Neodiprion lecontei: one gene and its partners. The protein of the gene in region 1 binds, or shares a complex with, the protein of each later gene. Links are inferred from orthologs where the notes say so. Each region holds a gene or a part of one and is shown on either strand. Other genes may lie near its edges.

What was found. Proteins that work in one complex are often made in the same cells at the same time.
Region 2: probable small nuclear ribonucleoprotein Sm D1 (region 1) and splicing factor 3B subunit 2 share a complex: the UniProt entries of both Homo sapiens proteins name them as parts of the minor spliceosome. The link is inferred for Neodiprion lecontei from reciprocal best matches to the Homo sapiens genes SNRPD1 and SF3B2.
Region 3: probable small nuclear ribonucleoprotein Sm D1 (region 1) and E3 ubiquitin-protein ligase RNF113A share a complex: the UniProt entries of both Homo sapiens proteins name them as parts of the minor spliceosome. The link is inferred for Neodiprion lecontei from reciprocal best matches to the Homo sapiens genes SNRPD1 and RNF113A.

What each region holds. Positions count from the first base shown.
Region 1 is NC_060261.1:43,621,980-43,628,317, forward strand, and holds probable small nuclear ribonucleoprotein Sm D1, read right to left. Parts: upstream 3,064-6,338; 5' UTR 2,919-3,063; coding exon 2,905-2,918; intron 2,689-2,904; coding exon 2,612-2,688; intron 2,474-2,611; coding exon 2,276-2,473; intron 2,107-2,275; coding exon 2,024-2,106; 3' UTR 1,577-2,023; coding exon of another isoform or gene 1,346-1,576; 3' UTR 1,215-1,345; downstream 1-1,214. Other genes in the region: NEDD8-activating enzyme E1 regulatory subunit, read left to right, coding at 1-406, 477-610, 673-875, 953-1,089, 1,346-1,576. UniProt on the Homo sapiens protein: Plays a role in pre-mRNA splicing as a core component of the spliceosomal U1, U2, U4 and U5 small nuclear ribonucleoproteins (snRNPs), the building blocks of the spliceosome.
Region 2 is NC_060266.1:53,931-63,808, forward strand, and holds splicing factor 3B subunit 2, read right to left. Parts: upstream 7,027-9,878; 5' UTR 6,610-7,026; exon of another isoform or gene 6,544-6,609; 5' UTR 6,383-6,543; coding exon 6,359-6,382; intron 5,464-6,358; coding exon 3,052-5,463; intron 2,790-3,051; coding exon 2,721-2,789; 3' UTR 1,932-2,720; downstream 1-1,931. Other genes in the region: GPI ethanolamine phosphate transferase 1, read left to right, coding at 1-325, 404-728, 930-1,356, 1,521-1,931; synaptotagmin-14, read left to right, coding at 7,823-7,856, 8,124-8,312, 8,576-8,710, 8,855-8,916, 9,139-9,336, 9,472-9,798. UniProt on the Homo sapiens protein: Component of the 17S U2 SnRNP complex of the spliceosome, a large ribonucleoprotein complex that removes introns from transcribed pre-mRNAs.
Region 3 is NC_060263.1:16,653,681-16,659,991, forward strand, and holds E3 ubiquitin-protein ligase RNF113A, read right to left. Parts: upstream 3,487-6,311; 5' UTR 3,444-3,486; coding exon 3,335-3,443; intron 3,185-3,334; coding exon 3,108-3,184; intron 2,980-3,107; coding exon 2,776-2,979; intron 2,575-2,775; coding exon 2,358-2,574; intron 2,220-2,357; coding exon 2,027-2,219; intron 1,905-2,026; coding exon 1,724-1,904; 3' UTR 1,527-1,723; downstream 1-1,526. UniProt on the Homo sapiens protein: Required for pre-mRNA splicing as component of the spliceosome. As a component of the minor spliceosome, involved in the splicing of U12-type introns in pre-mRNAs. E3 ubiquitin-protein ligase that catalyzes the transfer of ubiquitin onto target proteins.

The DNA.
Region 1 (6,338 bases):
TCAGACCAGAGAACATACTGTCATAGAAACTCACCCGGACAACGAGACACCTGATTTGCGATTGGACAATCCGTTTGAAACATTGAAAAATCATTTTGATTCAATAAATTTGGACGAACTGGACCTGAAGGATCACACTCACGTTCCATATGTTGTGATTCTGTACAAATACCTTGAGAAGTGGATATCTGAGAATGGGGATGTACCAAAAAATTATAAGGAGAAACAGCAGCTAAGAGATATGATCAGGAGTGGTATTAGAAAAGATGAGCACAATAATCCTATTGATGAGGAAAACTTTGAGGAAGCAATCAAAGCTGTTAATACCAGCGTTGGACGTTACGAGGTACCTCCCAGCGTCATGGAGGTCCTGAATGACGATTGCTGTATAAACCTTACCGCCAAGGTAGTATCGTTTCTTTTTTGTTTGAGCACTTCGACACATTTCGGACAAAACATAATGATGAAAATTTTAGAGTAAACCTTTTTGGATTATCGCCAAGGCTGTAAAAGACTTCATGGAGAATGATGGTTCAAATTCATTGCCACTCAAAGGTGCTGTACCAGACATGACGGCAGATACAGAAAAATATATATCCCTGCAACAAGTGTGAGTGTACGTGAATTTAATGTAAGTGCCGAACGGACATCTCAATGTATAATAAATTTCAGGTATCACAAACAAGCCGCAGCAGATGCGGAAGCAGTTTGGCGAAGAACAGTCCATTTGCTCAGACAGATTGGTCGCCCCTCGGATGCGATAACAGAAAAAGATGTCAAGTTATTTTGTAGACATGCTTCTAACATTTACATTCAAAGGGGATCCTGTATAGCGGATGAGTATGATCCAAAAACTGTGGATGCCAGCGAAATGAGTACGCCTTACTTTCATTTCATTCATATTTTACTTTCAGCTGTATATAGCTCATGTAAATAATGTTGACTCTTTTAGCTCAAAGTCTAGAAAATCCTGAAAGTATGATGGTGTACTACGTGGTACTCAGAGGGATCGAAAAATTCCAGGTGGAATACAATTCGTATCCAGGCGAATTCGACGATCACGTTGAACCAGATATTGTGAAACTTAAGGTACTATTTCAAAGCCTAGCGTAGAGCAAAGTTAAAATTTGTAAATAGTAGAGTATGTTTCAACTAGCGATAACTTATCACATTTGGGATGTGTGCGAACAGAATTGGGATTAGATCCAAGTATATTCTTTATAATCGTTTAATTCTGATTCTCGACAACACAGGAATTTTCAAATCTGTTTTTAGGGCCACCATACCAATAGAAACAAAGCTTTCATAATATCTAACATATTTCTACGTTTGTATGTGTACTCAGGCCTGTATTTCAAAATTGCTGATGGAGTGGGGTTGTGGGCCATTGGCAAAGGATGACTACGTCCATGAATTTTGCCGTTACGGCGGATCTGAACTACATTCGGTGTCGGCGTTCTTAGGAGGGCTAGCTGCGCAGGAGACTATAAAATTCATAACTAATCAATGCAAGCCGATCCACAACACTTTTATATACGACGCGGTAACGTCAAATTCGGCTAGTTTCTTTATTTGAATAGTAATAGAAAATTTGCAATACTATCGCGTAATACTATAATCACGTAATCATGAAATAAAATTCACTATTTCCATACAACTTGGCTAAGCATTAAATTACCTAGTCTGCAACACACGCCAAAAGATGAATGAATATCGTTAAATTAAAAATACGAAAATGCTTTTGTGTATAAAAAAGATTTGATGATTGATTTTTGACAAAAAAAAAAAAAAAGAATTTCATTTTATTATTACGTCAGATAAGGCTTACAGGCTAACTTCATGTCTGTGAGATATCAACGTTTTTATCGAACTTAAACTAGAATGCATTGGTATTAGACTTGTTTAAGAATATAAAACGTTGGTCAGTGGTGTAATTCACCGAGGTGCGTGGGAAGAGAAATCGCAGAATACAACACCTCGTTACGTTTCTCAAAAATCATCAATGGATCAACTATTTCAAACACTATCGCCTGCCTCTTCCTCTGCCACGACCTCCACGTCCACCTCTAGCGCCACGTCCACCACGGCCTCTTCCACGAGCCGCACCTAGTACAGAAAAACAAGGATTAGAAATCATCGATATGTATTAGAATACTATTGCAAAGTCTGGATTGAATGTGTCGAAAATTGAATCAAGGAAGATTAGTCACAGAAAATACTAAAACATAAATAAAATTGATCATAAAGGCCGCAAAACTTGAATGACTATAAGGACCTCGTGCGGCTTCTTTCTTCTTTGCTTTAGCCTTGGGCGTGTCATCGATAAGCAGAGTTTCCAAGGGAAGGGAATCAGGCAGAATGTAGTATCGAATGTTGTTTCCCCTCAAACTCAACGTATCGAGTTGTACAGGGTCTCTGTTCTTTATCGTCATCTTCACAGTTTTCAAGTGGGTGTTCATGGCCACATCCACACCTTAAAAATAAACATTTTTGTCATGCATCTGCAAAAACTATTTCACTTGGAGACAAAAGAGAAGCGGCCTGCTCTGTACGCTATTCCAACTGTGATTTGATTGTGTCAAGTCAAATGGCATAGGTTATGTTTACAAACCTGTGATAGTTCCGTGAACTTGGGTGCCATTTTTCAGTTCTATCGTAACCGTCTCATGGCTGAGTTTCATCAAAAATCTGAAACACGAAATATCCCAATTAATCCAGTGTCTTTTCACTCATTGCATTAACGGTGTTCGTAACGTAATTGCAACATCACTCATAGAGGCAGGTTAGGTACGGGATTTAAATCAGTATCTACAATCACACGGTAGTTAAGAAAAAAAACTATCCGAATTTATAGCAATCTAAAACTTCGATCGACGGAATGATTAATTATCGGCAAATTTTTACCTCACTAATTTCATGATGCCGATGGATTTTTCGTATAAAAATTCACAAGCACCGGCAAACCATAAACATCGTTTCAACGGCCGAAGTTCGGCGGGCTGGACGCGTCGAAAGCAGCGCCACTCGATGAACACGGATTTTCCGACAAACTGTACTTTGTGTCTATATTCACGGAGTAACAAGTTCGATTCGACAATTAAGTCACGCCAAATCTGGCTTGAAAATCGAATTTTGTATCGAATTATATGTACACAGTTCTGAATATTGTCTACACAGAATTGTCGATTGTACAATTTTCGTGAGATACCAATTGATACAACTTAATTTTCTCAAACGTTTACCTTACGTATCCAGTTTCCAAAAGTTGATGAGGTATCTCGCAGAACGTTGGAAAATCAATTTTGTTATTTGACGATATCCATGATACGCCCACACAAGTGTTTTTTCAACTTTATTTCGATTTCCCTTGATGCGTGAAGTTGTACAAGGGTCATCGACGCATAACTCTTCATATGCCTGTATGTATTATGTATATACGAGTTGTTGTAAACATCGTGGATATAATTAATCGCCGAGGAGTATTTAACTCAAGTCAGTCACGTCGCTACTCACTACTAATTGATGTGCTTGTTTTTCCTCTAGACGAACTCATCTGCACGCTCGACGAAGAACTACCTACGGAAGGTTACACATATTGTCATAAGCCCGGTTGAGTTCGGTGCACGCGATGTTTTGCCACAAACGGCCACGGCGTATTCCATCTGCACTCACCCTGCACTTACTAATCACGATAAAACGCAGGTATTATACCAACGTACAACATACGTATGCATTGCACATCATGCGTTATACGTATCCATCCAAGGGGAGAAATTAGATAAGTTTATTGCAAGTTGTCGATCGACAGATGATTATCGTCCGTGTAAGTGGCTACGCAGCTTGTGTGCTTTACGCTGCTGTATAAGACGTACACATCAGACATATTATCCATAATATTTATATTAGGCAAGCGTTAGTCCTGCATAATTTCATCGTACGGAGATCGATCACAATACCTACTATTAGGTAGGTCGTAGAGCTCTTCGTTCAATGCTGTTTAATATATATCTGATAAGCTTTTACAAATATTACGAGCTTACGTACATAATGTTAACCGCCAACTGTTTCCCACATTCTGATTTCAACGAAAATTAATCAATGAGTATAACCATATATCTATACAGGTCATGTTAATTAACATACGTCATACGCTATTATAAATCCGTGAAATTGAAAGTGTAAAATTAGTGTAAAATATTGTGAACCCAGATTCGCGAATCGCGGCACTTAATACATTATTGCATTTGCAGTCTATTACAGAGGTGATCGCGTATGCAAAACGCGTCTGGATTTTAAACATCGTATTGGAATAACAAAACTTGCGCGTAAGTGGTCGCGTACATCGTCGATGAATCATGTATGAAAGCGAGAGGTGGGGAGGCGAAGAATGACTCGGTGTATCCCGACAAACTAACTTGCACCTTATATGCATAGGCACAATAATACAACGTATTTCCAACCATTACTGTTCTCGATGTTTATCCAGCTTTATTACAGGCCTCCTTAAAGGCCTCCCGCTTTACGTATACCATAAACGTGGACTCTCCTTCATTCTGGTCCTTCACCTTTACCACAAAAACCGTCGGCTTCGTTTACCCATGGTTCCTCGACGTCCGTTAGCTGGTTAGAATTATTCCAAAAACTTGTTTACGAGTACCTACATTGACGGTCGAAATTTCTGTATTTTTATTACCTCGGTATAACTGCGTATACGTTTATACATGTATACGGAGAGCCGCAAGTCATTGGAGAGTCCGGCGCAGTGATCTCGATACGTTAATTTTTTTTTTTTTTACCTTTCTTACTTGAGGTTCTCTAATCACGTCTACCCAGAATTGCCGAGGCGTACGGCTGTGACAATGATGTCCCGACGGTCTCACGCTGGTGTGACGTCATCGTCTACGTCAGCAAAATCCTCGAGGGGGCCTCGAGGCCCGATCGGAGTCGCTGCCGCATCCGGAGGCACGCACCCACGTCAAACGATACAGCGCGTGAAAAGAATTCTAGCGCAGGATAGGTGGGGGGCTCGGATAAAACGATAAATGGTAACACCGATTTTTGCATATTGTACAGTCGTGCGAAAACTCACTGCAATAGATCACACGCTTTATCTCGGCAAAGCATTATAATTTTACACAAATTGGAAATTTTAAACATTTATTACAAGCTAAGCGAAAAAAAGGAATTTTGTATCCAGGATCGGACGTTTTGTTTTCTTTTCTCGTACAGGTTATACCACAATATAAATACTGCAGCGTATTATCTACAATACGATGTTGTTGAATTTCAAATATTTTCACACGATGGCGAGCACGTCCCTTGTGTAAAAATACAATTTCTAATTTGGAAAAGTAAACTTTATCAGCGCAGAGTACGCAGCGTGGTTTGCCTCTGTAAATAGCTTCCCTCCGGGTTGACCTTCTGCGTACGTTATACAATTAGCTGTAATTATCCGCGGGCTACCAAGGGACATCGCAAAGTTACACCATTAAGAATAATGTCATTATACCTATACCTAGGGAAGTTGGTTTATGTTTACATAGACGTAGCCATGTGGTACATACACGTTCCCGCGAGCAAGTTGCAAATTACATATACGGCGACAGGTCCACGTAGCCGTAGCGGACGCGACTTACGTGGGTACCCAGAGTCGCAGGGACACAAATCACACATTTGCGCTGATCCAGAGACCTGTGGACACTTGAACTTTGAAAGATAATTCAAAAATTAAACTCGTTACAGGAAGCAGAAGTCCAGTTAAAGTGGATTGGATCTTTTTCCAACTCACTCGTGCTTTCTTCTTTCGTTATTTCATTCCATTCTCCAAACCTGCTTTCCCGTTCCAGGCCTTCAAATTTCTCGTCATCGTCGCACAGGGCGCTGAAAGCATACCCGTAACATACGCGACATCGGACGACGATCATTCGATTCCGAGCTCTCCGAGCTACCAATTCCGCTCGTAATTTCGTGCAATTACCATCGGCAAATCCCGGCCTCGGCGTAAATCGAGTTTAAACTTTGAGCGCGGCTGCGCGCGTCGGTGTAAAGTTGAAATTGATTGGACGCGCGGCGTTGTTCCCGCGGCTGCGGCGACGCGGCGTCATCCCAGCCAACGATCGCTGCGCGTCGTTCGTCGCCGCTGTGGCGAAGGGAGGGGAGGCGATCGAGGCGCCGCCCACCGAGTCAACGTCGGATCTCGGAGTCACTCGGCAGCACGGTCTCGGGTCTCGGCTGGCTGAAAATTTCAATATGGCAACTGTCGTAATGTCTGGATGAGTTTGTGTGTCGCAAAATGTTTTGAAATTTCCTTTACGTAATCGCGGACAACCGGTCGACGT
Region 2 (9,878 bases), on another chromosome or scaffold:
TCCGATAGCGAGCCACACCTAAGGGAAACAAGTCTTTCTCAGGGAATTCACCGAGCCGAGTATCTCTTGACAGCTGGCAAGACAATGGAAGCGATAAACGAAGGAAAAGGACTAATGTCGCTTGCCAAGGAATCTCTTGTTTATTTTCGCGAGTATCACAGAGGTCGGCTCATGTTTTATTTGACAATTTCATGGCTGGGATGGATCATGCTGCTCTTTCTCAAAATCACTAACATCTCGCTCGATGAGAATCGCCCAAAATTGGTATTACTCTGGGATGTCCTGTTCGTGTGCACCTCAATCCTTCTCTTTATTGTGCACAGAGGTAAGCGGCCCTAGTTACTTGACTGCCGAATTTTTTACAGCACTTTTGCAGCGGACAAGTTTGTTAAATAATCGAAAGTTTCAGGTACAAGTGGATGGCGTTTGCAAGGGTATGCATTATTGGCACTGCTTTCTTCATGGCTTGCCACTCGAAGTTTCAGCGCTAACCCTTGTCCATCGTTCCGTGGCGGATGGTATTGGATAGGTTGTACGATTTCTCTGACGTCGATTATGTCCTTTGCTTTAACGATGAGGTGGATATTCGGAGCAGCGACTCTGTGTATGTGCGTGATACAGGGTGTTCTCTTCAAGGACGCGGATCGTTTTCTTCCCTGGACAACAATCGTTTTGGCCGCCTTTCCGCTACTACCGACCGTAGGCCCCGACACACAGACACATCTCGTGTAAGAATCTGTCAGACAATTCCCTTTGCTTGATCTTTGTCCTGTCTGATAGTCATAGAAAGATGAGGAAGAATTTTACCTTATCCACTTTGAGCATTAAGTGGTAATGTAATGTTTCAAGTATTACATTACGTACCGACTTATGGTATATGACGCACGTGACCATGTGTCACGAAAGTAATGCAAGTATTTCTTCAACAGCTTGCTGGCCTTGGTTATTGGAGGAATGACAGTGATTACCGCCGACGATCGTCACATGAATATTTCTCTGAAGGCCGTGGAAGGTGTAAGACTTACAACAACAGCCTTAATATCTTCGGGACTCGTGGATGGTCGAAGCCTCTTGTCCTGGCTAATATTAATCTCTACGCCGTTGTGCATATGCGCTTATTCGGTTGAAGTCAAGGGTAGAATATTTGGAGTAAGTTTGGCATTTTTACCAACCCTTGCCTTACTCTCCGTATCGTATGAGCCACTCTTCCTTATCGCGTTGACGGGTCATCTTCTTTGTTGGCCTATGACTACTGACAAACGTTGTAAAATGTGGGGATTCAAGAAGAAGGAAACCATCAGCGTGAAAGACTTTTTGGTGGCTGGATTTTTTGTATCCTTTTACCTGCTGTATGAGGTGCGAGTAAAATTTAAAGTTGCTTCAAGCTTTGTACACATCATTGGTAATCTTATATTCAGCTCAAGCACTATCTGCACCTATCAGATTGTGCATGCAAGATATGTCGGAACCTTAGATACTCTTTTTTCTTACATGTTATGTTATTATTCATTCGGACTCAGATGCTGTACGTGCTACTGGGGTTCTTTGGTACTGGAAACATAGCAAGCATTAGTTCGTTCGACCCAACATGGACAAGACATTTTCTTACAGTATTCTCGCCATTCACCATGTGTACTCTGATCGTCCTGAAGACCAGCATTCCACTATTGGTTGTTGGGTGTGGTATCAGGACCCTTGCACCGTCAAACCTTTTCATGACGACAATCCTCCTTGCCGATTGTCTAACACTGCAAGTCATGCATACGGTTACACCCCGAGGTAGCTGGATGGACATTGGTAGTGCGATTAGCAGATTTGTAATCGCAATGACGTTACCTTGTCTGATGCTACTTCTTTATCATATTTCGCGTCTCCTGGTGACGTACAGTGTGTGGAAAATCGACCATTCTCAGATTAAGCAACATGTATAGGATTCATAATGTCATGTTACAGTACAGTATGCAGTACATACAAGTGCACCAACCAAAGTATTATTGTATTGATAATATAATATTAGAGATACGTATTTCAGTACAACCTGCGTTATTTTTTAGCTAGTTTTAAATTACGCACAAGCTCGAACCACATCGGTCTTAAACCCCTGCACTGTTGTTGTTGCATGAAATTCAGTAATTCTTCGTGGTGAAAAAGGGGATTTTACACAACTGTATAAAATTACGTATGATGTATGTATGTACTACCGGCCGGAGTAGTGTCGCGCACAGGTGTGTGAGACTGTGAATCGGGAGGAATTGAGTTCAAATCCCCAGCACGACTATGAGGACCTGCGCGAAAACTCTTAACAATTGTCAGTCGGGGGCTGAGTCAGCAAGCTGAGGTTTGAACTCGGCCCAGCTACATCTGGGTAAGGTATTCTGCAGTTTTCCTTGTTTTTTATGCATTCGCGCGGATTTCTATTGAACATCCTAAGCCAGGCTGCAGGCGCCCAATCACTTTCACAAATCTATTGCCTCTCTTGCCCTGCACAAGCCGAATGGCGTACAGGGACATACCGGGTGTATGCATACAGTTTTGGCCAATTATAATGTAGCCCACGTAATGGTGGGCAAAGTGATATAAATGATCGCATTCATTTTATAATTCAGATAGAGTTCGTATATAATGTGAAAGTATTGAATCACTTGAATGACATACATACGGTAGACACATGAACAATTTTGGAATATGATTAGGGGATACGTTGACGAGACAGGTTTCAATTAGAATTTGAATTCCTTGTACTTCTTGGATGCTTTGGTCTCCTGATTCTGCTGACGTTTTCTCTTGCTCTGCAACAATAACGTATTAGGTGTGAGCTTTGAGTCACTTGAAAGTAACGTATGCACCGCGACTGAGCATACCTGGCGATTATCTTTAAAAGGGTACGCTTATTTGTGTTGGTTACACAACACGTGCAATTGGCTTATAACTGGAAGGACAGCACTGGCAACGCAAATTATCGTAATAGATCGAATAGATAATCTCCCGGTACAGTAAAATGACAATAATTTGTGATTTACAATAATTTCTACTAAAAATTCAGAATATCACCTTTTGCCTTTGTACATGATCTTGAAGCATATCGGACAAGTCCTCGCGTCGCAGGTGAGCCTGGCGCGATCTCATTGTCTCTTCGTAACGTGAAGCCATTGCCTCTGAATCAAGGTCCAGCTCGCTTGGATCAAGCGCCAATTCAACAGCTGCGTCCCTGTCACCTTTACCTTCGGCAGATGTACTACCGCCGACACCCGCTGTTCCTAGACCACCTCCGCCGGCACCCGATGCGCTTGTTCCAACGGCCCCAGATCTACGAGCAGCTGCGATGACGGAGGGGGGTGCCTGACCTCCGACTGCACCAGTCATATCGTACACATGGGTACTTCCCATCATGCTTGCCCCAAGTCCCTCTGCGCGACGCTCCTGCAAAACTTGGTATAGCGCAGGCGTGTCCCCGCCCTCCATTTCGCTCTCAATCTTCTTCTTTCTGAGCTCAATGGTTTCGGGTGTTTCTAACCCCGCCGGAATTGACGCAATACCGCTCGGTGTGACTAAGCCTTCGGCACCGGGTGTAACCAAGCCACTTGCATCTCCGGCATCGCCCTCTTTTCCTTCAATCCCGTCACCCTCATTACCCTCCTCGGCGTCGTCCTCGTCTTCGTCCTCACCCGACGACTCTGATTCCGGCTCACCCCACATACCGCGATCAACTTCTTCGTCCATCGCATCGACCCCTGGCGCCCTGGCAACACCGAATACGTCTCCGTACAACGGGCGGCCCGTCTCGTCGACGGGTGGCTTACCCCATCCGCCAGCGTGATAACCGAATGCGCATCCCTCGGGTATAGGCGCATTCAGACCAGGAATCTTGAGGTTTGGATAACTCGGCGGAGGGCCATAACGTTGCATAGCGATCAACCAAGGTGGCGGTACCTTATGACAGTTCGGACCAACCGGCATTCCCAGAGCTGTTCGTAACTCGTCGGATAATTCACCGGGCTTCTTTTCCTTCAGTCTCGTTTCGAATTCCTTACCTTCGTAGTAGAGATCGCCGTGTATAGTCATACGGGGCTTTGTCTGCCACTTGAAAAATGCGTCATGAAGTTTCTGGTAGTCAATGTCTATTTTGCCAAGTTTCGGCCTTGCCCGTTCTCGCATTTTCGCCTTTAAGGTGCGTGTGTCATCCCGTTCCTGAAGGCTCGCTCGCATTTCCGTAATACCGGTACGCTTGATAAAATCAGGCAAATCGAAAGGAGGCTTTTCGATGCCTCGTTTACCCTGTAGGTACTTGCGCTTGAAGCACCAGTGTCTTGGCACAGGTACCGTATTTCGATGAGCTTTCAGCTGCACCAAAAGTTTGGGGTCCCGCGCTGTGACGTCGTGCATCTCTACAACATCTGGACGCCCGACGAGTTGCTTCAGTTCAGCCACACTCAGGCGCGTTAGCCTCTTCAGTTTGCGTTTAGAAAGACGCGGTGTGCCTCCTTCTCCGGTGCCCTGGCCTCCACCCTGCTGATTATGCTGATTCTGCTGGGATGGGTCGTCGTCAAAGTCGTCAATAGGCGGGATTTTGCTAAGTGGACCCGCTGCCAATGTGTTTGTCAAGGGTGGATACTGGCCAATGGGTTCAATCTTATCACTTGTTGCATTTTGGCCTATGCCCGTGCCACCGCGAACTTCAGGTTCCGTCAGCTTGAACGCGTCAAAAACTCTGGCAAATTGACGATACATTGGTTCCAAGTCATTGATACTCGGGATCTCTTGGATGTACTCAATCTGCGGGTCGTCAATGTTCCTGACCTTGACATCAGGCGTCCTGGTCTCGTTTACATCCTCATTCTTCTCATCGCTGCTCTTCTTCTTCCGTTTCTTTTTCTTTTTGCGGTTCTTGGTTCCCCTCACATCCTGTCGAACCCGTGGTGCGTCTGGTTCCGGAAGTAAGTCCTCCAAGAGAATCGAGTCTGGTAGTAAGTTGTCGCGTAAGTCAGAAGCTGGGTTAGATGGATGCGATGTTTGAAACATTGCATGGCCGTGAGCGCTGTTATCGTGGTCGTCGTTCAGATCACCGCCCAGCTCCTTGGCTCTCTCAGTTTTCAATGCAAGCGCCTGTTCCAAAGCAACAGGAAGCTTGGTCGTGCTCACTATGTCGGATACACCATTTCTTCCTTCTTTGCAGAGGTCCTCATTGTCGCCATCACGCACCTCTTCGGCCTTATTACCATGCTCCTCTGGAGTTCCAGAGAGCTGCATCTCGATCGGAGGTGCAATCTTTAAATTGAGAAGACTGGGCAACGGCGCTTGTGGTATTTCAACGGCAACCGACGGCATTCCCATGGTAGTCAATTTCGGTATAGTCGGGTGTGAATGATGGACAGAAGACGGAACGCTTGCTAGCTGTTTCTGAATCTCTTGCTGTTCCATTTGCCTTAACTGACGAGGATCCAGTATTATTTGCTGTCCCTGTGCCTGAAATATATAGTTTCACTCTTGATTTAATGTCTCACAAACACAAAACCAGGAATTTTGTACAAAAAAAAAGACAAAGTACACAAGTAGATAGACCGATTTTAATATCATGTAAATTATACTTCTGTGGCTGATCTTTTGCCAATTAACCCTAATCAAGATTGAGTGGTAACGAGAAAGTCTTCAACATTGAAGTCAAAAGACAAGGTGGAAAGACCTCGAACAGAAGCCCTCTGAAAGTGCGAGAGCGGGGAAGAAAGAAGAAGCACAGTGCAGGGACATAACATGTCGTTGCGGAGCGCTGAAACTGGTTTCTTAACCAATCTATGATTGAACTCATAACTGTAGGCTTTAGTCACTGGTTTGGCCTAGCTACTAGCAGCAGTTTCAAGTCAGTCTAGATTTACGGAAATGCAGTATGTTGAAACAGTCAGTGTCTACATCTCTTCACGAGGTGCGAACCAAGGTATAGGATAACAAGTAGAATGCTACGTCTCTTCCGTTGATTGAAGATTGCTAAATACAGCCAGTCACAGGTATTGATTTGGAGCAAGCAAACAGTAACCTTGGGCACAGAGGTAATGCCATTACTAGCCTACATTTATTGTCTCACTTAGGGGTTTTACAATATTGATCAAGCTATTATCGACAGGAAATTTCTATACCCAACCTTCCCTCGAAAACTCTCACTTAGTCGCACCGAGCATCAAAATCCGATTTATCTGGCTGGCTATATCAGCAACCTTCGGTCAACGGTAGATAATACGTTATTATTGACAGACTTGACAATAGAATTTTTCACCACTTCATATAAAGACATTACGACATTACTGTAAGAAGCGATGTATGGTGGATGGAAAGTTATTATTGAGTTAATTTCATAAGTATTACTAACCTCATTCCCAAGTGCTCCATCCATTTTATACGTGTATGTGTACCCTTAAACGTACTATGTACACCTCTGCCCGCAGCAAAGTCGCCACCTACATTCGTCGATCCTCTCTGCTTCTGAATTACGGTCAGTTTCGCAGTATTTCTCGTAAAATTCAACCAAAAATTCAGCGCAAAACCAGTCCTATCCTAGTAAAGTAACACCAACTATTCACGCTGTCATTTGTATGCCTACCACTCCTAACCTCTACATACGAAATCCTATGCCTTCTTCGTTCTTCTTCTTCTTCTTTCCTGAACGGCTATTCGCCAGTCCGATGACATGTGCCAATGCCTTCCTCGTTTGCCGAGTAATCTTCAAAAAATTGCCTCATCTACACCTCTGCACTGATTACGATGTAAGCCAATTCTTGAAGTCGTGCTGTAGCGTCGGTAACACTGCTGCTGACACAAGGGCACGATACACGGAGGGTTGCAGAGATGAATTCGTCATGTTAGGCGTTGACTGATGATATATTGCTCAGTCAACGTGTTGGGTGTCCAAAGCTTCTAGATCGCAACGACTCTGGTGGTCATAACAGGGACTGAATAAATCTTCCTTCACCAAAGACTACACACCCCCCACTCCAAAAAAGTGCCGGAGTTTCCAGACCTGCGTCTACAGATCATGATCTAAACAGACAAATGAAGCTGAATAGCACAAATTTAAATCTACCCCGTTCCGTTCATTCATATGGGATTCCGGCGATCCGTACGTACCTACGTGAGACGGCACCATGACTGCATCTAGCTGTGCTTACATTCTGCGATCGGATCTAGTAACTAAATTCTAGAATTATCGGGGAGTGGCTAACGACGTCACATACGCATACGGTCCAATCTGCGGGCTCACGAGGCACCAATCAAATCACAAGATTACACTCACCTTGTGACAAACTGGTCGCAACAGTTAAGTTAAAACCGCTGCGCCGCCCTACCGGGCTGAAACCGTAGCTTTGAGATTGCTCAAAACTGTCAATTCAAAATTCAAATCAATCAAGTAGGAAACTGTTGAATACGATCGTTTAAAAGTACATAAAAACGGAAATCGCATTGTTTCTTGCCCTGCATAGTATAGAGTAACGAATAAAGTAATAATCAAGACAAAACCTATTTTACATCGCAGTAAGCTCTAACCTGACATTTGCGTCAGGTGGACCGCACGCGCTTGCGGCGTCCGTTTTTACAGGGTAGGTATGCGGTGTGCAATGGTAATAAATATCAGTATTTAGTGATCGTGTGCGTTGCCCGGCGCACAGGGTCGCTAAGGGGGCGGGACCGCTGTTGTTTGTAAATAAAAAGTTTTCCGTATTTCGCGACAGCGCTACCCTGACGACTTAGCTACTCGAGCCATGAATTCTGTCCTACAGAAGATTTTTTTACCTTATAAATGTATAAAGCATATTATAGAATTACGAATTGAGCGAGTATGATTCTTGCTGGGTCGGACCATTTTCTGCCGGGTGAGTCCACTGTTGTCTTGCTTTTCACCAGATTCGTGCACAGTCGTTTCCACATTTCCTGGAACGCTCGCTAACCCAACCAACTACCTACAATTCTTGGTCCTTGTTACTGTTTCAAAAATTTACCCTAGTGAATGGACTGATATCAGCATGCTCAATTATAATGTAACATGCACACGCAGATATGTAACTTTCAGTTTTACCGTCACACAAGCAATGTAATCAGCTATACATGCATTACAACTGTAATTCTCATTGCCTTTGCAGTATCGGTCGAGACAGCGGCGTTTCTCGGTGCTGTCGCAGGATTCGGGGCTCTCCTGCTGGTTCTCTTCCTTTACTTGTCACGGAAATGGTGTTTCACATCTTCCCCACCTGCTACTTACTTTGGTGGCGTGTGCGTACCTTTTTGCCAGTCTAATAACAGCTCGTCATCCCAACTCAGCACGAATCTTGGTAACTCAAACAATTTAGTAACCATTGAAATGGATTTTCTATGATTTTCTCTTGCGCTGCGCACATCTCCGATTGTCTCAATTATTGAGTCTGATTGTTGAGCACTAAATAAAAAAAATGTATTACCAATGCAAAGTATTACAGAAAGGAAAAACTATTCCCATCATTGAATAGGCAATAGAATGATCGAGATTTCAAAAGTTCTTACTGAAATTAAAATAGTATTACTTCCACACCTGTACTGCAACTCAATTTTGACCCAGGCAAAACATTGGATTTCCATTCGGATGTGGAGACAAGTTCAGAATCTGAGGAGGAAGCATTGCGTCAGCCTAATTTTGGATCTCATCTCTCACGTGACAGCCTTGCCATAACAGCAGATGGTCCCGGGGCAACAGGCAAGTCAAGTTCTAACTTGTCTAATAATTGCTGTTTCTATAAAAACCCGTTCATCCTTTGCATGTACAAAGTGTACACAGAAATTGAATCAGTCACTTTTTATTATATTTGACACGATATTCATTCCTTAAAAAATAACGCAGATGTTGGAAAGGTATTGAGCTGCAGTGGTACAGAAGAGAAATCACTTCTGGATCGGCAACAGGTATGCCCAATATTCGGTTGACATTATATCCTACACCACATTGGGTAAAGCAGTTCCGCGAGAATCATGCGTCGGAATTTGTCTCGCACTTCCATTTTTTTCTAGCACATCGTCAAAATATTGGAACAAGGTTGGAAATCATGCACAGAAATTTACACACCGTAATATCGGTGAGAATGAGTCATTAACCGACATATTGTGAATTATAATCAAATTTCTTAGTGTGTAGTTGAAGTGGGTACCCCCAATGCGATTGGAACCGAAGAAATGGACATTAAAGATAAAAGGGAAGAGGAAAATAAAGCAGACCGGCAGCAATGTTTGAATCATCACAAGGAATCTCCTGTACCGATTCAAGCGGAGGAAATTCACAGCTTGGAGGTGGCGTTGATATACGACGCGCCGATGCGTGAAATGACGGTCTGTTCGCCATATAAAGACACTCATTAGTAACGGCGCTGACAATTATCCAATAATCAGAAAATAGATATATAAAGTCAGATTGCCTCATCGGATCATATTGGTTTAAAGGTAATGTGGCATTGTTTGTTGCAGGTTCAAGTGCTGCAGGGACGGAATTATCCGAATATGATAGGTGGTAGTCAGGTTCGTTTGGTTTTGTTGCCATCTAAGAAACAGAGACGCAAAACCAGAGTCCGTCAAGGGACTACGCCGCAATACATGGAAAGCTTTCTGCTACATCGTGTTAATCCTGAAGACGTGAATGGGATGGGTGTCAGGCTGAGGGTGTACTGGTGGACTGGGCGTATACGGAGGGAGAGATTGCTTGGAGAGGCAAGGGTTTCTTTTGACCAAATAAATCTGCAATTGGAAACCACACTGTGGCTACCCTTGCAACGCCCACCCCAATCTTTATCCACGGTAAAAATTTACTTTTATCTGATGTTTATACCACATTACTCATGTGATATGACAAAGCTGGCTATGTATGTAAATACACA
Region 3 (6,311 bases), on another chromosome or scaffold:
TCGCCTACGCGGTTCGAGGGGAGAAAAAACGTCGGGAGCGAGTCATGTTTGCTAATTGATGAGGACGGATACCGTAATTGCAGTAGGTAGCGGGGACCGGCCGAGAGATAAAGAATTGCGCAGTCAAGATGCTCGCTGCACACGCATCGTGCAGTGATCGTGTCGCTCCGTATTATCAAAACCGCGATTCCATACCTGCCGCATGAATTTTTCGCCCTCTTTACCCCGCGCCCAGCAGACTTCAAACCTGCGTATCTATTTACGGATGAATCGGTACGGTCACGTTGCAGCTGCATAATCAGTTCCTCGGAAAAGATAAATCGAAATTTATTTACACAGTATACATGTACGTTGAGTGAGTGCTATCGGGGCTGCGGAGACAAGTTGATAAGATCTGTGAAATACCTGTAGTATACATTATACTTATACTGGTAATTTATATAACGTTTATTTTCATTCAATTTCTCGAATTTATTTGAAAATACCTTACTAATCCAGCATTTCATCCACTTTTTCTTTGGCCCTTTGTTTTTGCTCTATATATATCCAGAACGAAAAGAAACGCGATCAGTGTTGAATAGCAGCCTTGAAGCTTTCCTTCCTCCAGAAGGTGAAGGTTTTGTTTTACTTTTTATCAGTGTCTAGTCATTTTTACGAGGACGCATTAGTGCGCCACTAGTTTCGGTCGTTGCTCTCTTGATCGTCGTCGTCGTCGTGGTCACGTTTGCAGAGATAAGGGAACGCACTTTTCACACTGGATTCTCACCGCTCCTATTTTGCCCGAATCTCAAGGCGAATGGAAGATTTGAAGACACTTTAGACGGCTGAAAAACGTGAAACTTAGCGCCAACTGATCTCAGTAAACTGACGTGAAATTTGCCCGCTTCTCTGAAGCTTGTTTCCGAAATTCAGAGCCGAAGGTCTCTACGAGTAGATTAGATAATAACTAGTTGGTGTAATCACTCATTTTTTCAGAGACGCGATAAGAGAGAATAAAAGGGGAAGAAAGACGCTCTTGGCCAAAAAATACATGCCCGTAAGCCTCGGTGGCGCTCGTTACTCAGCCGTTGGTAAACAAAGCCGATCGTAAAACTCCGGGGGTCTATGACTACACGCGGCGGCGATCCGTCGGGAGCAGATACTCGGCTAACAATGAGCGTTTGCAAAGGCTGCCACGCGATGACTGAGCACGTGTGGGACTGGGGACAATTGATATACATATATGTAGTCCGAAGTCTGTCCTACGTCGCGCGTTGTTACATCGCCACCCGGTAATAGAGGGCAAATTTGTTTAAGTTGATTGCTGCGCGGTTCACTGTACAGACAATGAGAAAATTTAAATATACACGTCCATTATTATCCGTATCTTAATTATTATTACTTTTTTTCATCTTTTATATTTGTCTTACAACAAAATTGAGTGTATCGTTCGTGATGTTATCTTTCGCACTTTGATGAACAAGTTTTTCGTAGAACACATAAGGTATACCGCAATGCATCGTGCATATCAGTTCGCTGTTTCACTGTTATTTGTAATGTAATATTTTCTGGTTTTATTTATTCTTGTTGTTGTACACCTTCGGATGCACCAACAATGCTTATGTTTTCAAGAACAATAAAACGGCGACGCCCCTGTTTTTTCCCTCTTCCTCTCTAACTCGAAGGAATTAAAATTTAGAAATTAATTACCTAAATTAAAGTATTACACAAAGTCGGATCTGCACTAGTCAGAATCGCTATCGGCCTTCTCTTGTTCCGCCGCCTCCATTTCTTCCACCTTCATTCTCGCCACCAACTCTTTGGCTGGATTGAACATGCCGTTTGTTTGTACGTTGCAAATGAAACACCTCGTACTCTTTTTGTACTGTTCGAGGGCGCATTTTTCGCAGAAGTAATGTTTGCACCTGAAAAAGTGATTGAAACGTCATTTAGAAATTGCTCTTGCATTAAGAAACACTTGGGGATAATTTTCTCCGTTGTTAAATTGGATCTGACTATTTTTGTTTATAAATCAAATTTTACAAACTTTGTGACAATGGGATCGGTGAATCTGTTCCTGCATATGAAGCATTTGAATGGCAGATCGTCAACGTCGCTGTCTATTTCATATTTCTTGTCATCCTCGTCACCGCTGTTGTCATATTCGCCACTGGCTGCCTCTCGCTCTAACTGCCAGCCTAATTTGTAGTCGGATCTGTCATGGAGAAACTTGCAGCTGTCTGGGAATAGAAGAGATTACCTTAGAGGCGACATTTTACTGCAATTCATATGATTGAGCAGCCCTTTTAATGCAGTCTGGTAAACAGTAAAAGTTTCGTCGAAACTGGATAGAGTGAAAAATCTGTTTCTTTTCTCACCTCCAAATCCGCAAAAACCCGTTTCCTTGTAATCTTTACAGATATCTGGCTGATAATCCCATCTTACAGTGGCTCGGAGATTTGCTGGTGCTCTGATGGGTCCTTTGCGCACCATTCCACTGGACGCGTTGCCTGCTGCAGTGTCCTTTTTTTTGTAATACTGAGCATAATTGTTCATGCCACGGTATACTTTGTCGTCTTCTTTGCCCTCCAACTCCTGTAATAGAAAAATAGATGAAAAAGTGACCAATAAAGGATTCTTGAAGATTTCAAGGACAATTAGAATACCTTTACGGTTATATATTTCGCTGGTATAAGCAAAGAAATTTGAATGGCACCCTTAGATCACAAAGCAACACACCAAAAATTTTGCCAGATTTCAGACTATAACAAACAAAATTGCTTTCAGTTACAATACCTCATTGATTTTCTGAGCCCTTTCAAACAGAGCTTGGGCATCTCTGTCGATTTCTGTCTCTGTTTCCAGAATGGCCGTTGCTCCTTGATCGCTAGGCCCTGCGGGCATCACATTCCGCTTACTTTTATAAGAGACAGTGACGCTGTCATCTTCGGCTTCCTCGTCATTTTCACCTATTACAGGTCGTTGCCTCTTGATACTTGTCTGCAGAAATTGAAACAGTGATTGGTTGTTGGAGTTTTAAACTTATCTTACTGTTAGCACAGTTGATAATCGTGGGGAAGATGACTGAAACAAAATAACAGGGGGAAAAAATATGTATAGTTTCTTACACTTTGTCTCATAGGATTTTGAACGTCGGTCTTTTTTTCCTTTTTGACAACCGTGACTGCTTCTTCTTCGCTATCGTCTGCAAGTGATACGGTGGTTTATTTCAATAACAACATATTGAGAGTTAACCTATGACGCGTGGTCTGATACGAAAATCTCGTTTCAATCCGGCGGATCCTCAAAAATCATTTCTGATTAGAAAGCACAATTTTAATTAGAGTCGTCTCACCATTTTCTCCCACAATTTCTTTCCGTTTTCTTGCTGCGTTGTTGCGGATTTTTCGCTTCTTGAACAAAAACGTGCAATTTGGCTTTTCTGACGCTTCGTTTTCTGCCATGTTTATTTTTAACGATGAAAGCAAGGCGAGGCGCGTCTGTCGCGTTAACGCCAACACGATCCGCAAAGAGCTCTTCGTATACGACGCTGGGTAAAATCGTAAGCGTAGCGTAAAAAGAATTCTTTTTATACGGTCGTCGATAAAGTGAGATTCTGATAGTTCGGTCCCGGCGTTCCATGGTACATTTCCGTCATTCCTACTTTTACGGGAACGATCGGCGGTTGTTTTCAGACGCTTCCCAGCAAGGAGATGGAGGTATAACGAATTCCGCTATATTTCCTAATAAATTCTTCGCAATTATATCGAAAAGGTAAGTTAATAATAATAAGTACAATTCAGCTGAACATTTTCTTTGAAATAAATAATCGCAGTTACCGCGATAATTGTAAATTATGAGTATAAATTGGTTTCCGTTACTAACGGTCCATCGCAGTTCCAGTAACAAAAGATTATTTACAATTATAATTTCCATGCGAATCTCGGCCTGCATTAAATTGGTATTTCTAGTGTTTGAGTAAATCTGAATCGCATCATGCACACTTTCAAACGAAGTGGTAAAGACTTCGCCAAATATCTTCAATCAACGGCGAGTATTTCATTGTCGATATTCAGCCGTTTTACTCACGTGACGCCATGTGAAACAATCGACAACCGATTGTTCTGCCATCTTAACGAACGTTCGTTGTTATTTGAGAAATTTGAGTTCTTGAAGATCAACAGATTAAGTTCAGGAGCCACGTACAAATTGTTAATTTGTTGCTTTTGTGATGAAATAACGTGTCAAATACACACGAAAGAATCATTCAATCAGATGTGGAAGGCTTTGAATCAAGAAAAGTGTACAAGAGAGTACCTCAAGGGGGTGCTCTAAGCCTCTTGCTGTACACCCTGTATGTATCAAACATAAGCAATAATCTGCCAAAAAATGTTATTGCCTCACAATTTGCTGACGACGTCGCCTTGATCTCCTACGACGAACCTCTATCACTGTGCAAAGATAACCTTGAAATCGCGGCAAAACAAGTAAACCAAAACTTGCATGAGCTAGGTCTAACCCTATCTCCTGAAAAGACAAAACTTCTACATTAAGTAGATAAGATACGACACTTCTAACCCAAAACATGACGTAACCAGTTGACGTAACCACGGCGGCCATTTTGATTTTTTGATGGCGGCCATTTTGATGGCGGCCATTTTGATTTTTGCTTAGCCGGAAGTAGATAGGATATGACAGTTCTAAATCAAAACAAACATTACGTAACCAGGTGACGTAACCATGTGACGTAACCGGTTGACGTGACCATGGCGGCCATTTTGATTTTTTGATGGCGGCCATTTTGATTTTTGCTTAGTCAGACGAGCGGCCATTTTGATGGTGGCTGTTTTGATTTTTGCTTAGCCGGATGAGCAGCCATTTTGATTTTTCATCGTCCGACAGTTTGATAATGTGATTTTCGCTATGACGTCACCAGTATAATCGACCGATTTTACCGTCTGACGGCGGCCATTTTGATTTTTGCTAAGTCGGATGAGCAGCCATTTCGATTTTTATCGTCAGACAGTTTGATAATGTGTTTTATTTCTTGGCAGGATGAACAGTCATTTTGATTTTTCACCGTTACCCCGTAAACTTTCGCGCTAATAGTTTGCCCCAGGGGCGAAAAATAATATTTTCCACGTACTTCGAATACATTCTTTTACGTTAATCGACCGGATGGTGACATCGCAATTAGATAGACAGCGAATGTTGATGACGATCCGTAAACTTTCACGCTAATAGTTTACCCCCCAGGGGGAAAATTTTACATTCGAAAAATATTAATAGAATTTATTGTAGTTATATATATATATATATATTTCGAATTACAGTTACACCTAATTTTAAGTAAAGCTGGGGATGTTCGCCACAATTATACATATAGGTCGGGAATGTTGATGGCGATTCTTAAACTTTCACGCTAATAGTTTTACTCCCCAGAGCGAAAAATAATATTTTTCACATACTTCGAATACACTTTTTTGTGTTAATTGACCGGATGGTGATGCCGCAATTAGATAGGCTGGGGATGTTGATGATGATTCGTAAACTTTCGCTTTCAAGAATTTATTAGGGGGGAGAGTGTGGTTAGTTGGTATATAAATCGCGAGCTCATTCAACACGTTATATTGTTCTCAAAGTTTTCCCATTGTGAACTTCAGTATCCATAGTACGTCAAATTTATAAAATCTACATCGAACGTGATGGATCTAAATAAAATCAACCTCGTCTGTCACCTGGAAACGCTACCCACCAAGAGAATGTCAGATCTGGAGGTTGGGGAGGAGTACAGCGTGACGGGGGTAAGGCGCGTAAATACTAAGTACGGCACGAGTATTCTTCTCGCGCTCAATGAACAATTCGAAATATTTTTACCCCCACGAATTGTAAGCCTCATGGAAAATGATGTGGTGCAATTCAACGCCATGCAAAAGACGATAATCGAGGGCATTCTACGAATGAAATATCAAGGAGGCGAATACAACAAATTTGAATTTTTGTGTGACAGATGAGCAATTTGAGCGTAACAAACAGCACTGTTCCAACTTGCAATATGGAGATGATCATGGACATTCAAAGTTTCGTTGGCCCCAACGATAAATTTATACCCAAGGAACTTTGCATCAAACATAAACTCATCGGGTTTGAGCCGCATTCTCTTCAAACCGCCGTACGCTTGGGCGGATCTACCAGCTGAACACAAAGCTACTAACGCTTGGCCAACACGCAATTTTCACGGAATACCCTGGAATGCGGGAATCAAACCTTATGCTGAGGTGCAGAAAATTGTAAAAAAGGCTGTTAAATATGCATGCTATGTATATGTCAAA